Arabidopsis thaliana: one gene and its partners. The protein of the gene in region 2 interacts with the protein of the main gene of each other region in a pairwise test. Each region holds a gene or a part of one and is shown on either strand. Other genes may lie near its edges.

The links. The genes of interacting proteins can lie anywhere in the genome.
Region 1: the proteins of SK3 (region 2) and AT3G58930 interact in a two-hybrid assay, tested with the Arabidopsis thaliana proteins (2 studies listed by BioGRID).
Region 3: the proteins of SK3 (region 2) and AT4G10400 interact in a two-hybrid assay, tested with the Arabidopsis thaliana proteins (2 studies listed by BioGRID).

What each region holds. Positions count from the first base shown.
Region 1 is NC_003074.8:21,777,617-21,782,270, forward strand, and holds AT3G58930 (F-box/RNI-like superfamily protein), read right to left. Parts: upstream 3,048-4,654; 5' UTR 2,630-3,047; exon of another isoform or gene 2,399-2,629; coding exon 1,433-2,398; intron 1,348-1,432; coding exon 1,207-1,347; intron 1,107-1,206; coding exon 765-1,106; 3' UTR 558-764; downstream 1-557. Other genes in the region: AT3G58920 (F-box/RNI-like superfamily protein), read left to right, coding at 58-372; AT3G58940 (F-box/RNI-like superfamily protein), read right to left, coding at 3,386-3,871, 3,955-4,311, 4,404-4,544, 4,633-4,654.
Region 2 is NC_003071.7:10,948,181-10,951,160, forward strand, and holds SK3 (SKP1-like 3), read right to left. Parts: upstream 1,447-2,980; 5' UTR 1,372-1,446; coding exon 1,054-1,371; intron 908-1,053; coding exon 734-907; 3' UTR 567-733; downstream 1-566. UniProt on the Arabidopsis thaliana protein: Involved in ubiquitination and subsequent proteasomal degradation of target proteins. Together with CUL1, RBX1 and a F-box protein, it forms a SCF E3 ubiquitin ligase complex. The functional specificity of this complex depends on the type of F-box protein.
Region 3 is NC_003075.7:6,445,559-6,449,674, reverse strand, and holds AT4G10400 (F-box/RNI-like/FBD-like domains-containing protein), read left to right. Parts: upstream 1-1,538; 5' UTR 1,539-1,603; intron 1,604-1,652; exon of another isoform or gene 1,653-1,693; 5' UTR 1,694-1,843; exon of another isoform or gene 1,844-1,926; 5' UTR 1,927-1,959; coding exon 1,960-2,784; intron 2,785-2,867; coding exon 2,868-3,005; intron 3,006-3,073; coding exon 3,074-3,340; 3' UTR 3,341-3,559; downstream 3,560-4,116. Other genes in the region: AT4G10410 (Leucine-rich repeat (LRR) family protein), read left to right, coding at 1-100, 251-456, 531-692.

The sequences.
Region 1 (4,654 bases), on a different chromosome or scaffold from region 2:
CCAAAAGTCCTTGTATACTCCTAAATGTTTAATTTCTTATTCTCTCGATTGCGTCAGGGTCCATTGCATTTGTACTACAGAGACTTCAATGATGATGAAGAAGAAGAAGAACCTGAATATTATTGCGAGTGCTCGTCGGGATGTAATTGTCTATTGTCATGTCATATGGAAGTCCTGGAGATCTCCCATTACAGAGGAACTACCAAAGAACTGGAGAAACTGAAGCATTTCTTAGGGAAGTTGTCATGTCTTGAGCATGTGAAACTTGGTGTTTGGGCAAGTAGCGACAAGGAAAAGTTGAGTATCACCACTGATCTACTAATGCTTCCTAGAGCTTCGGTCAATTGTAAGATCCAGATCAACTTTTCTTAAAACTACTACCAAATAATTGCTTTTAAACACTCTGCTTTATTACTTTGTTTCATCTCTTGTTATCTGAGTCTGATCTTATCTTCTTTCTAAGACTTGTTTTGACTTTGATATATTCACCAGTGATGGGTTTTCTTATGAACGTACTCCAATGTAGAGTCTGAGAAGTTCAATGCAAGGAAAATGGTGACGAATTATAATAGCCTTCAGGATTTTCTTTTACAAAACCATAAAAACTGCCCAAGGAAAATGCATTTCAATTTTTTAACCAAAGAAACTACTCTGTTTTGGGTCAACTATGGAAACATGCCTTCGACACCTTTTAGTTTGCACAAGTAAATCAAAGGAAACATGGCATTAGAAAAATCATGAACACGTTTTCATACTCGTAGACTTCATTGTGTAGTCCATTTCCTACGCATGTAACCCCACACCAGGAAGTAAACATCACAATTCGATATCTCATTGTAGAGCTTCAATATCTTCTCAACATACTCAAACGCTCCAGGATTTTCAAAGTTTGTAGGACCCTCTTCTTCAGGAAATATCCCCATCTCCTTTAAACACTTAAAAGACCTCAAGAAGTGCCCTATCATGTTTATCTCTCTCATCGTTCCTCTAAACCCTTGAATCTCTACCTTCTTCACGGGACAAGAAGCAAGCGATCGACCTTTGTCTTCCCGAGAAATGCAGTCACAAGCATCCCCGCATTTATCTGTCACATTGTGTAAGAGACCCTGAAATCATAAAGAATACGATAAGATTACCGAGTATATTGAGTCTGACCAACATCTTTAACAAATGTTTTGTCAAGTAGTTCCATGGTTTGTAATTAACCTCAATGATTAGATATTCTAGATGCGGACAGTTTCTCAGAAGAGCTGGCACTGCTTGCCAACCGCGACCCTCTTCACTCTTAATACCTAAGGTTTTGAGGTTGTTGAACACCGGCATTGATTCACAGCATAGAGAAAGTACCTGAAAACAAGAATTAAAAACCAACTACATACTTTGCAACTAATCTTTCTCAAATAGACCAGAGAGAACGAAATAGAGAACTGACCTCAAGAGTATCAGCAGTTAAGTAAAGTATCTGAATATTTTGGATGCCGTTCATGAGCTTCACCACATTGCCAAATTGGAGAACAACATTACCCGCATCATCCTGTAACAAGTCATTATTTGGCTCTCTTACCCGCTTGATCTGATCATCTTTTACTATAAGGTTGATTCGAGCCTCAAGTAACTTTCCCATATTAACTAATGGATAATCCTCGGCAACTAAATCAGAGTAGTTTAAGTAAAGAAGACTTGGAGTATCAAAAGAAATGCTCTTTGGATTCACATAGTCTTCACAACCGGTGCCAAGGATACTTAGCTTCCTGAGGCTTGCACTTGACACGGTTTCGTGTGATTCCTTCCACTCCATACTAGCCATTCGTAATTCCTCAAGCACAGGGAAAGAAGAAAGAAACCTTTTCATCTTACCCCAAAGAATCAAGTCCGAGTCAATATAAAGACTTTTAAGCATTGGTAAGGAAGTGCCTCCCTTTCCACACCACCAATCCACACAACGATCATTTCTTATTTTCAGCTTGACCAATGTCTTACTGACGAACATCTCTTGAGGTAGCATATCCTCATCCTCTTGGGTATCCTCATAGGAAAAATCAATGAAAAGATCAAGATCGGAAACACCACGCTGCAGCACATTACATATCCAACGATTCACATGATCTGGATGAATACCAGTTATACACTTGAGAGAGAATCTATCAATGGGAGAATCATCCTGCAAAGCCAAAACTCTGTCCACGAAATCAACGAAGCTCTGTCGAATTTCAAGCCTTTCCGCTTTACCCTCTTCCGGGTGAAGAAATTCAGAGTCATCAATGTCGAGAATAGGGATAAGTTTCCAGAGATTGAGCCAGCTCTTTGAGAGAACCGAAGTCAAAGCAATGTGCTTGGCGGGAAGGAAGGACAAGATATGACCACGAACCCCGTCTGGTAGATTGCTGACACGATCCATCTTGCGTACACGAGATTAAGAGTACGTTATTACGGCTACAGGTAAAACATGAAAGTTGACAACTTTTCCCCAAAAGATGAGAGAGTAGAAACGGGAACAGAGAAAACCCTAATTCACAATTCACACGAAAATATGAATTCACACGAAAATATGAATTCACACAAAGAAAACTTTGAATCAAGAAACAGAATCAGTGGAAGCAGAGGAGATAGGTAAAACTTGAGCATTTACCTCGCTACGAATGGCTTAATCGAAGATCAAAATTTTGGAGAATGCGTCCAGTGATAAGAGTGAGAGTTGGGAGTGCTAGGTCACTGGTTTCTATCGTAGAGGAGAAGAAAAGTCACAGACTTTCAGTTCGACAATACATGCAAATGCATCAGAGTAGCCGAAACATCCAACTTTAAGAAGAAGAAGACAGCAGACAAACGAAATTGAGGGTTTTTAAAACCAAGTGTGGATGTTGTTGGTTCTACTTTAATCACCGGTTTAATTCGGTAAACAAACCGGAATTGTTTGACTTTGGGTTACGGAGGTGAGGCCCAACGCCCAGTTGCAAAATTGATTAGGATTATAAACAGAGAAGCATCGTGATGAGCTGATGATGCTATTGAATTTTGGATGTCTCAGCTTCTTAAACTGAAAGTTTGCTTTTTATCGGGAAGAAAAAAGAACTGAAAGCTTAAGTTGGTTTGGTTAATGCGAACCGGACAATTCAAATCAAATAACTTTATATGCAGTCGAACATAATTACTTGTACCCGCAAAAATGATATAAGATACCTTCAAAGGAGTATAAAATCAGCAGAGACAGAAGAGAACAGTTAGCTTCCGCACCTACCGTGTACAGATGCAACGTCGAGAGAGTAGGGAAGATATGAAGATCCAAATTTACAAGCTGCTTCGCTTCAGGATTTTGAACTGGAATTCCAACTAAATAAACACAAACCGAACCAAATTGGAAAGCATTAAGAAAACAATCACAGATCTATTCTCCTTCTCGTGGGGGAAAATATGTTGCCGTAGCTTGGCCGAGCTCGGTCATCTCCTGATTACTGGATGTCTCAGCACGCTCTGAGTCGGTTGCACGCAGAGCTCTAACTGCCGATGCTAGCATTGGGTTCTGCTCGACAATGATATCGAACAGAGCATCATAGTCCCGCTCCTTCTCGGTCATCTCCTGACCACTCGACGCCTTTTCTCGCTCTGAGTTAGTTGCCTCTCTAGCCCTCAACGCTGAGGCTATAATTGGGTTCTGGTCAACAATCATATCTAACATAGCCCGTAGCCTCTCCTTAAGATCCGCAAGCTTGGCTTCCTGGTCTCGTTGCCTCTCCTTAAGATCCGCAACTTCAAGTTGCATCTGAAGGTAGTCTTGAGACATCTCTTGTGGCGGAGGAGGAGGTACCGTGGAAGAAGCTCTACGCATGAAGAAGAACATATCGTAGATACGCTCTTTATTGCGGGGAGCCAACTGTAAAAGAAAAGAAAAGACAGTTAGTTTATTCAAAGCTGTCATGAATTTATGTGATTGAAAACGGTGATCAAATAGTGTACCTCATAGTACATCTCATCCATCTGGGTCTGGGACCAACCCCCAGATTGTGCCGAACTCTGCCAATGTCCAACTATCTCTGTCGAGACCACATCGTGGAGCCTATACGCGACAACTTTTAAAATTCTAGGCACTTCAAAGTTTGTAGAATCATTCTCTTCGGCATCTATCTCCATCTCATCCAAACACGGGAAATACTCCAAGAAATGCCTTATCATCTCTTTCTCTCGAATTGTTCCACGAAACCCTCTAACCTCTAACTTCTTCACTGGACAAGATATGAGCGAACGACCTTTGTCTTCCCGCGAAATGCAGTCACAAGCATCCCCGCATTTATCTGTCACAGAGTGTAAGAGACCCTGAAAGCATAAAGAAGACAATAAGACGATTGAGTCTAACCAACAACTTTAACAAATGTGTTGTCCGAGTAGTTTTATGGTCTGTAATTGACCTCAATGATTAGAAATTCTAGATGTGGACAGTTTCTCAGAAGAGCTGGCACTGCCTGCCAACCGCGACCCTCATCACTTTTAAGTCCTAAGGTTTTGAGGTTGTTGAACACAGGCATTGATTCACAGCACATAGTAAGAACCTGAAAACAAGAAAAAAAAAACCCGAATGAGGTACTTTGCAATTGATCTTTCAAAAATGGACCAGAGAGAACATAATAGAAAACTGACCTCAAGAGTATCTTCAGTTAAG
Region 2 (2,980 bases):
AACTCTTCTTACCTTTGTATTGGTAACAACAGAGTTTAGTGTCTTTCTTACCAAACATTGACCGTTCTCATCTGAGATATACAAGCATATACAGCAAAACATATTAGTTGGTATAAGCAGAATCATCTGAATTATGCCAATCATGTACGAGTTTGATCAATGTATAAGGAAAGCTTATTTTTAATTTCACTATCACCAAAACAAAACCATTTTTATATTGGTTCGAATGATGCAAAAGGTCCTTTCTTCCTTTCTGTAACCAATTTAGTTATACATACCAATCATTTTATAAGGAAATTCAAAAAATCTATATCTTAAGCAGATAAGAAAGGAAGATAAGCTCTTACCATTGGATTTCAGAAATTGAGACTATTTCAGATCCGACCATGTTCATCTGGCCTCATATCGTCTATGGCTCGGGCAAACATGTTATTGTATCATAAAATAAACGTGGCAAATTGGATATATAAATACATCATAATTATATAGCTTATATAGATAGACGTATTATTATCTCTTTTCTGTTTTTTTTGTCTGTGAAATCGTTTGATTGATAATGCATATTACTTTGTGATTTTATGTATATAAAGTTTAGCCGGGATTGAATGAAGAAAATGTGAAACACTTCTGGGAGTTTTGTGACAAAAGAGATTGGAAGCAAAAAGAAATTCAGGCAAAATAAATTTCTCTTATTTTATTTGTTGATATCAAATGTTCTTAAATTCTTTTCCAATCACTCGAACGCCCACCTGTTCTCATTGCGAACCTCGGCCTCTTCCTCAGGTGTGTAGTCGTTCTTGATGTTGAAGTGTTCACGCATCTGCGCTGGAGTTTTGCCTCTCATCTGATCAGCCACGGCCTTGCACGTAAGGTCAAGAAGTCCACTGATGTTCAAATAGTTGGCAGCCTTTATAAACCAAGACGATTAGTCTCCAAATCAAAACACAACATTCAATAATATAAATAAAACCCTAACATAGTCATGGAAAAAATATAAAAAACCCTAATTCTAAAAACATAAAACCAAAAAACAAAGAAAAAGACATTACTAACCCGAAGGAGATCGAAGAGAGTAGGATGATCAACTTTGACGAAATCGTTGTCCCAAGTCTTGAGCTCGTGGTTCTCGGTGGAACCATAGAAATCCTTGTCTCCACCAGCCTCAGCAGCGGCTTCAACGTGTTTCTTGCAGTACTCGATAACCTTCGCGAGGATGGCTCCGGTGACATTGGGAAGTGGAATTCCGTTATCGACGCAGTCGTCCTCGATCATGTGCTTAATCGTCTGGGACTCGACCGCGACGGCTTCCTCGACCTCGAAGGATTCACCGTCGGAGCTCTTGAGGATGATCATCTTCTTCGTTTCTGCCATCGTTTGCAACAAGGACAAAGGACTAGACAAGTTTTGAAGAGAATCGGCTCTGCGATTGATTGTGAATTGTGTGATGGTCTCAAGGTTTGGGAAGTTGGTGCCCTATTTATAGATCTATGTAAAAACAATTTCTTACTTGGTAATTAAAGTCGGTTGATTGCTTTTATGTTAATCTAATCCTTTTAATAATAGGAAAACAATAAAAGGGAAACAAATATTGGAATTTTAAGTAACAAAATCTTTATTATTTTTTTCTTTTAAAGAGAAATATTTTTACTTTTCCAAAAGCTCAACCTTAGTAATAATATTTACTTTCCAGATTTACCCGTATCTGATTTCAGAAAATACAGTTAATCATCTACTACGTGTGAAAAAATCATTGACTAGGGTCTTATGTTTTAATAAAAGTAAACCTCCACGTTCACATAGATTATGAATTAATTATTATTTGTGTATTTTGTAGTGAATATCAATGAAAATGTAAAAATTGGTAACCAACACCACAATTTTTTTAATAAATTATTATTTACTGGGTAAAACTACGTTACACTAAACAAACTGAAATTAACGAACATTCATGGGTTTTGGTTTTTAAAATTGTTGGAGAAAAATATGATTATAGTTTTAGTTAATTTTTATGTTCATTTTGTGTGTGAATTAGATACTGTTCTTTTCTCCATTCAGATGATCTTTTAAATTATTATAAACGAACGTCAATATTTATCTTCATTTAGATGAATCATCGAATGGAAAAACGAACAGTACTTTAAAAGATTAGCGAGAAGGATCAGTTGGATGGTTTTTAATAAACTCATTTAAAAAAGGAACAGAACAGCAGTTAACGGAAGCTGATTTAATCCAAAATACGAAATGTCATAAAATACACCTACCTAAAAAGAATTCCAGCAAAACCTAAACCTATTTCTCCTTCATTCCTCGACATTCACTTCGCCGGACCTCTTCACTGGATCTCTCACTAGAATTCACTCCTATCTCTTGCCGTAATCCACTATTCTTTGCCGGATTTCTCGTGCGTTCTCTCTCTCTCACTCACTCTCTCCTTCTATCTCTCTGTTTCATGGATTTGATTTCACTATTTCTCACTCTCCCCTTCTACCTCTCTATCTCTTGCAGTAAGACTCACGGGTTTGATTTGTCCTTGAGTCATTAGATGGATTCGATTATTTATTTTAGCTCGTTTTGGACAAAGTAAGATTCATGGGTTTTGTATTGAGTTTATGATGCTTATAAGCTATAATTTTCATGGGTTTTTGTATTTGTCGAGATTCATGGGTATGAGCTGATTCATGAGTTTTGTATCTATTGTGTATTTAGAAACTGATATGCTTTAGAATTGTGTGTCAGTTTAGGGTATAATTTAGGTCAGTTTATCACTGTCAATAACCATCTTTCAGTTATATCAATGCTGTATTTTCATCTAGTTCAGTATTAGATTGTTTGATGAAAAGTAACAAAGTATCAATATGTCATTACTAAATCAGGATTTATATGCTAACAGAGTTAAGCTTAGATTTGGGAATTAACAATAAGCTGCATCGGTAGACATAAGTCAGAGAATTTTGTTATACTTTTAATGTCAACAATTTTG
Region 3 (4,116 bases), on a different chromosome or scaffold from region 2:
ACCTGCAAGTCTCTCGTGATCTTGAAACTCGATGGTGGGATTATCTTGGATGTTCCTCCGATGGTTTGTCTTCCCTCTCTGAGAACTTTGGAACTTAAAGGTGTGAGAGTCTTCAGTGACGCATCTCTTCAGCGGCTTCTATCTAATTGCCCTGTTCTTGAAGATCTAGTTGTGAATTTATATCATCATGACAATACTCTAAAGTTGACTATTATTGTCCCATCTTTGCATCGTTTGTCACTCTATATAGGTTATACTTGTGATGTAGATGAGTTTGTCATAGATACTCCTTCTTTAGAGTATTTCAAACTTGAGGATCGTAATTATGATAGTCACCCATGTTTGATCGAGAATATGCCTAAGCTAACGGTAGCATACGTCGATGTTAGATCCACTGATCTTCAGAGTCTCATCGGATCAATCACTTCTGTCAAGTATCTAACAATATCCTCTAAGGTAATCAGTTTCAATCTATCTTTGATCTTGCTCTTTAAATTCTCTGTTTATACTTTTTTTTTATTCGTTCGCAGGCTATGTTTGGTGACGGTTTTATTTTCAACCACCTTGAGCATCTGACGCTACCTGTATGGGATGATTATCCGTGGAATGTCCTTGTCCAGGTCCTCAAAGACTCTCCTAACTTACGTGAACTAAGCTGCCTCTCTGAAATGAATGTAAGTTCCTTCGTTTAACTTGTTTTCTTTTGTACATTATTTTGTTGTTCAAATCTAATTCTTCTGCTTGACTTCAGGATCATCATCAGAATTTTGGTCTGTTTTTATGGGATCAACCGAGTACTGTTCCTGAATGCATGTTGTCGAGTCTACAAAAGTTCACCTGGACAGAATATTTAGGAAGACCAGAAGACACAGATATTGCGGTTTACATCTTGAAAAACGCTTGTCGCTTAAGCACTGCAACAATCGATTCTGATACACGTTTGTTTACAAAACTCGAGATGATAACGGAGTTGACACGTTCTTCCCGAGCTTCAACAACATGCGAGCTTATCTTTTATTGAGGTTTTGAATCATTAAATGTTTTCATTTATATAATAGGATTCTATAAGTTCCATCTAGACTCGTCTGATTGCCCAACAAAGATCAGGTAATGAATGTCTTACCTACTTGCAGTGGTTTCTCTTCCATCTCTGAAAACTTTAAGACTAGTTTATAACTAGGAGATATACAATCTTGTTGCTTAGACCTAAGTTTGACAACATAATGTTAATCTTATTTGATTCTTAGAACTTGTGAGGGTCTAAGGCTCTATGATACAAATTGTATCATACAATGTGTCAAAGATATATTGCAGAGGTTCCAAAATCTCATTTATCTTTTCTCACAGTCTCTTCCAAAGCCAAATACACCGTATCAGTATACCACGCTCAGACCTAAAGTCAATCGTGAAAAAAGATTCTGAAATATTGACACTTACCTGGTTAACTAGCATGAATTTACAAAGTATGGAGCTGATAGCTACTGCCTCGTTGTGCCAGGCATCAAAATGATAGCCATTATTATTACCAAAGATTCCTTTGTAGGATTCTTGAAAAAGAGGCCCAACCCACTTACGTATCAAACACTTCTCTAGGCCCATATAGGTATCAATGAATCCCTAAAGCCAGTAGTTAAGTGTAGTGTCGCTACAAATTCTGATTCCTTCTTCTATTTTCTCCTTTTCTCGATTTCAGAGTTGTAGAGTTTCCAGAAATGCTTCCGCAGAGTTCTTCAGGCGCTTTTGATTAACCTTCTGATTCCGGTTCCGGTACAAATAAATCGAGCCTCCACTGAATTTCACTGGACAAGACTCATCACCTAACAAACCAGAGCTTCTTTCTAGGGTTTGTCTCTTGTTCTTCTGTTTTCACTTGTTTGGTATGCTTGAGACAAATCCTTTGAGTCTTTATTGTGTATTCTTTTTCAGGGTCGGTGACATTTTCTTGGTTGTTGTAAGACTATGGACAGAATCAGTGGGTTACCTGATGAAGTACTGGTTAAGATACTGTCGTTTGTTCCGACTAAAGTTGCTGTGTCAACGAGCATTTTGTCGAAACGATGGGAGTTTCTTTGGATGTGGTTGACTAAACTTAAGTTTGGTAGTAAACGTTATTCAGAGTCTGAATTCAAGAGGTTACAGTGTTTTCTTGATAGGAATCTGCCATTACATAGAGCTCCCGTTATAGAAAGTTTCCGTCTTGTGTTAAGTGATTCGCATTTTAAACCTGAGGATATCAGAATGTGGGTTGTAGTAGCAGTTTCTCGCTACATACGTGAGCTGAAGATTTATAGTTCTCACTATGGGGAGAAGCAAAACATATTGCCAAGTAGCTTATATACCTGCAAATCGCTCGTGATCTTGAAACTCGATGGCGGGGTTCTCTTGGATGTTCCTCGAATGGTTTGTCTTCCCTCTTTGAAAACTTTGGAACTGAAAGGTGTGAGATACTTCAAGCAAGGATCTCTTCAGCGGCTTCTATGTAATTGCCCTGTTCTTGAAGATCTAGTAGTGAATCTATCTCATCATGACAATATGGGAAAGCTTACTGTTATTGTCCCATCTTTGCAACGTTTATCACTCTCTACACCTTCTAGTCGTGAGTTTGTCATAGATACTCCTTCTTTACTGTCTTTCCAACTTGTGGATCGTAATGATAATAGTCACACCTTTTTGATTGAGAATATGCCTAAGCTGAGGGAAGCATATATCAATGTTCCATTCGCTGATATCAAGAGTCTCATCGGATCAATCACATCTGTCAAGCGGCTTGCAATATCCTCTGAGGTAATCAATTTCAATCCATCCACTGCTTGTCCTTAATCTCATTTTAAAAACTCTCTGTTAATACTTTTCTTTATCGTCCGCAGGTTGGTTACGGTGAAGGTTTTATCTTCAACCACCTTGAGGAACTAACGCTATGGAACAAGTATTCTTCGAATCTCCTCGTCTGGTTCCTCAAAAACTCTCCTAACTTACGAGAACTAATGCTCGTCTCCGAAACGGATGTAAGTTTCTTCCATTAACTATTACATTATTTTGTTCTTTAAAAACTAATTCTTCTGCTTGATCTCAGGATCATGAGAATCTTGGTATGCTTTCCTGGAATCAACCGAGTATTGTTCCTGAATGCATGTTGTCGAGTCTACAAAAATTCACTTGGTTTAAATACTTAGGAAGACCACAAGACAGAGATATTGCGGTTTACATCTTGAAAAACGCTTGCCGCTTAAGGACTGCAACAATCAAATCTGATACACGTTTGTTTACAAAACTCGAGATGATAACGGAGTTGAGACTTTCTTCCCAAGCTTCATCAACATGCGAACTCAACTTTTCTTGAGGATTTGAGATTCTAAGATGTCTACATTTATATAATAGGATTGTAATTCCTATCTAAACTCGTCTGACTGTCCAACAAAGATCCTATAACGAATTTCTTGTTCTTCTACTCTCTTGCTCGTATGGTTTAGTCTGTCATAAAAAAAAAAACTTGTTTACGTATAATGGAGATACACCAGAGCGAAGTTGTATACCGATAGTATAATGGAGATGCTTTGTGAACAAGAAAAGAGTACTAGTTCTGTTTTGGACCATACGTCTCTTTGCACTTCTTATACACTATTCGTTCTCAAATTCGACAAGTTAAGGTCAACTTATTTGATGCTTGTAACTTGTAAGGTTCTAAGGCTGTATGATACAAATTGAATCATACAATGTGTCATTGCAGAAGTTCCTTGCCAGTTCCACCCAAGCTTAAGTATTTATCTATAATATTTTCCTCAACTAGTTCTTTATTTCATTATTTGTGTAGTCTTGGAAGTAGTTCAAAAAGAGCAAACATATAAGTTGAAATTAGAATCATATGCTCACCAAGCACATGTGTAGTTTAATGAAAGTCAATAGGAAATAAGTACATAACTTAGTCTTGAAAATGGTGTGTTTCTAAGAGTATAGTGTCATGCTAAATGTGGATCTTAGGTTCTATACTTACCCAACCTCATATCTCTTTCTCTCTCTCGCTTATCTATTCTATATGCTGTTGATTCTTACTTCTCCAAAACAGATCTATTTCGGTATGTTTCGTTCTTTGCTTTTAGCAAATGAAGACTATCTTCT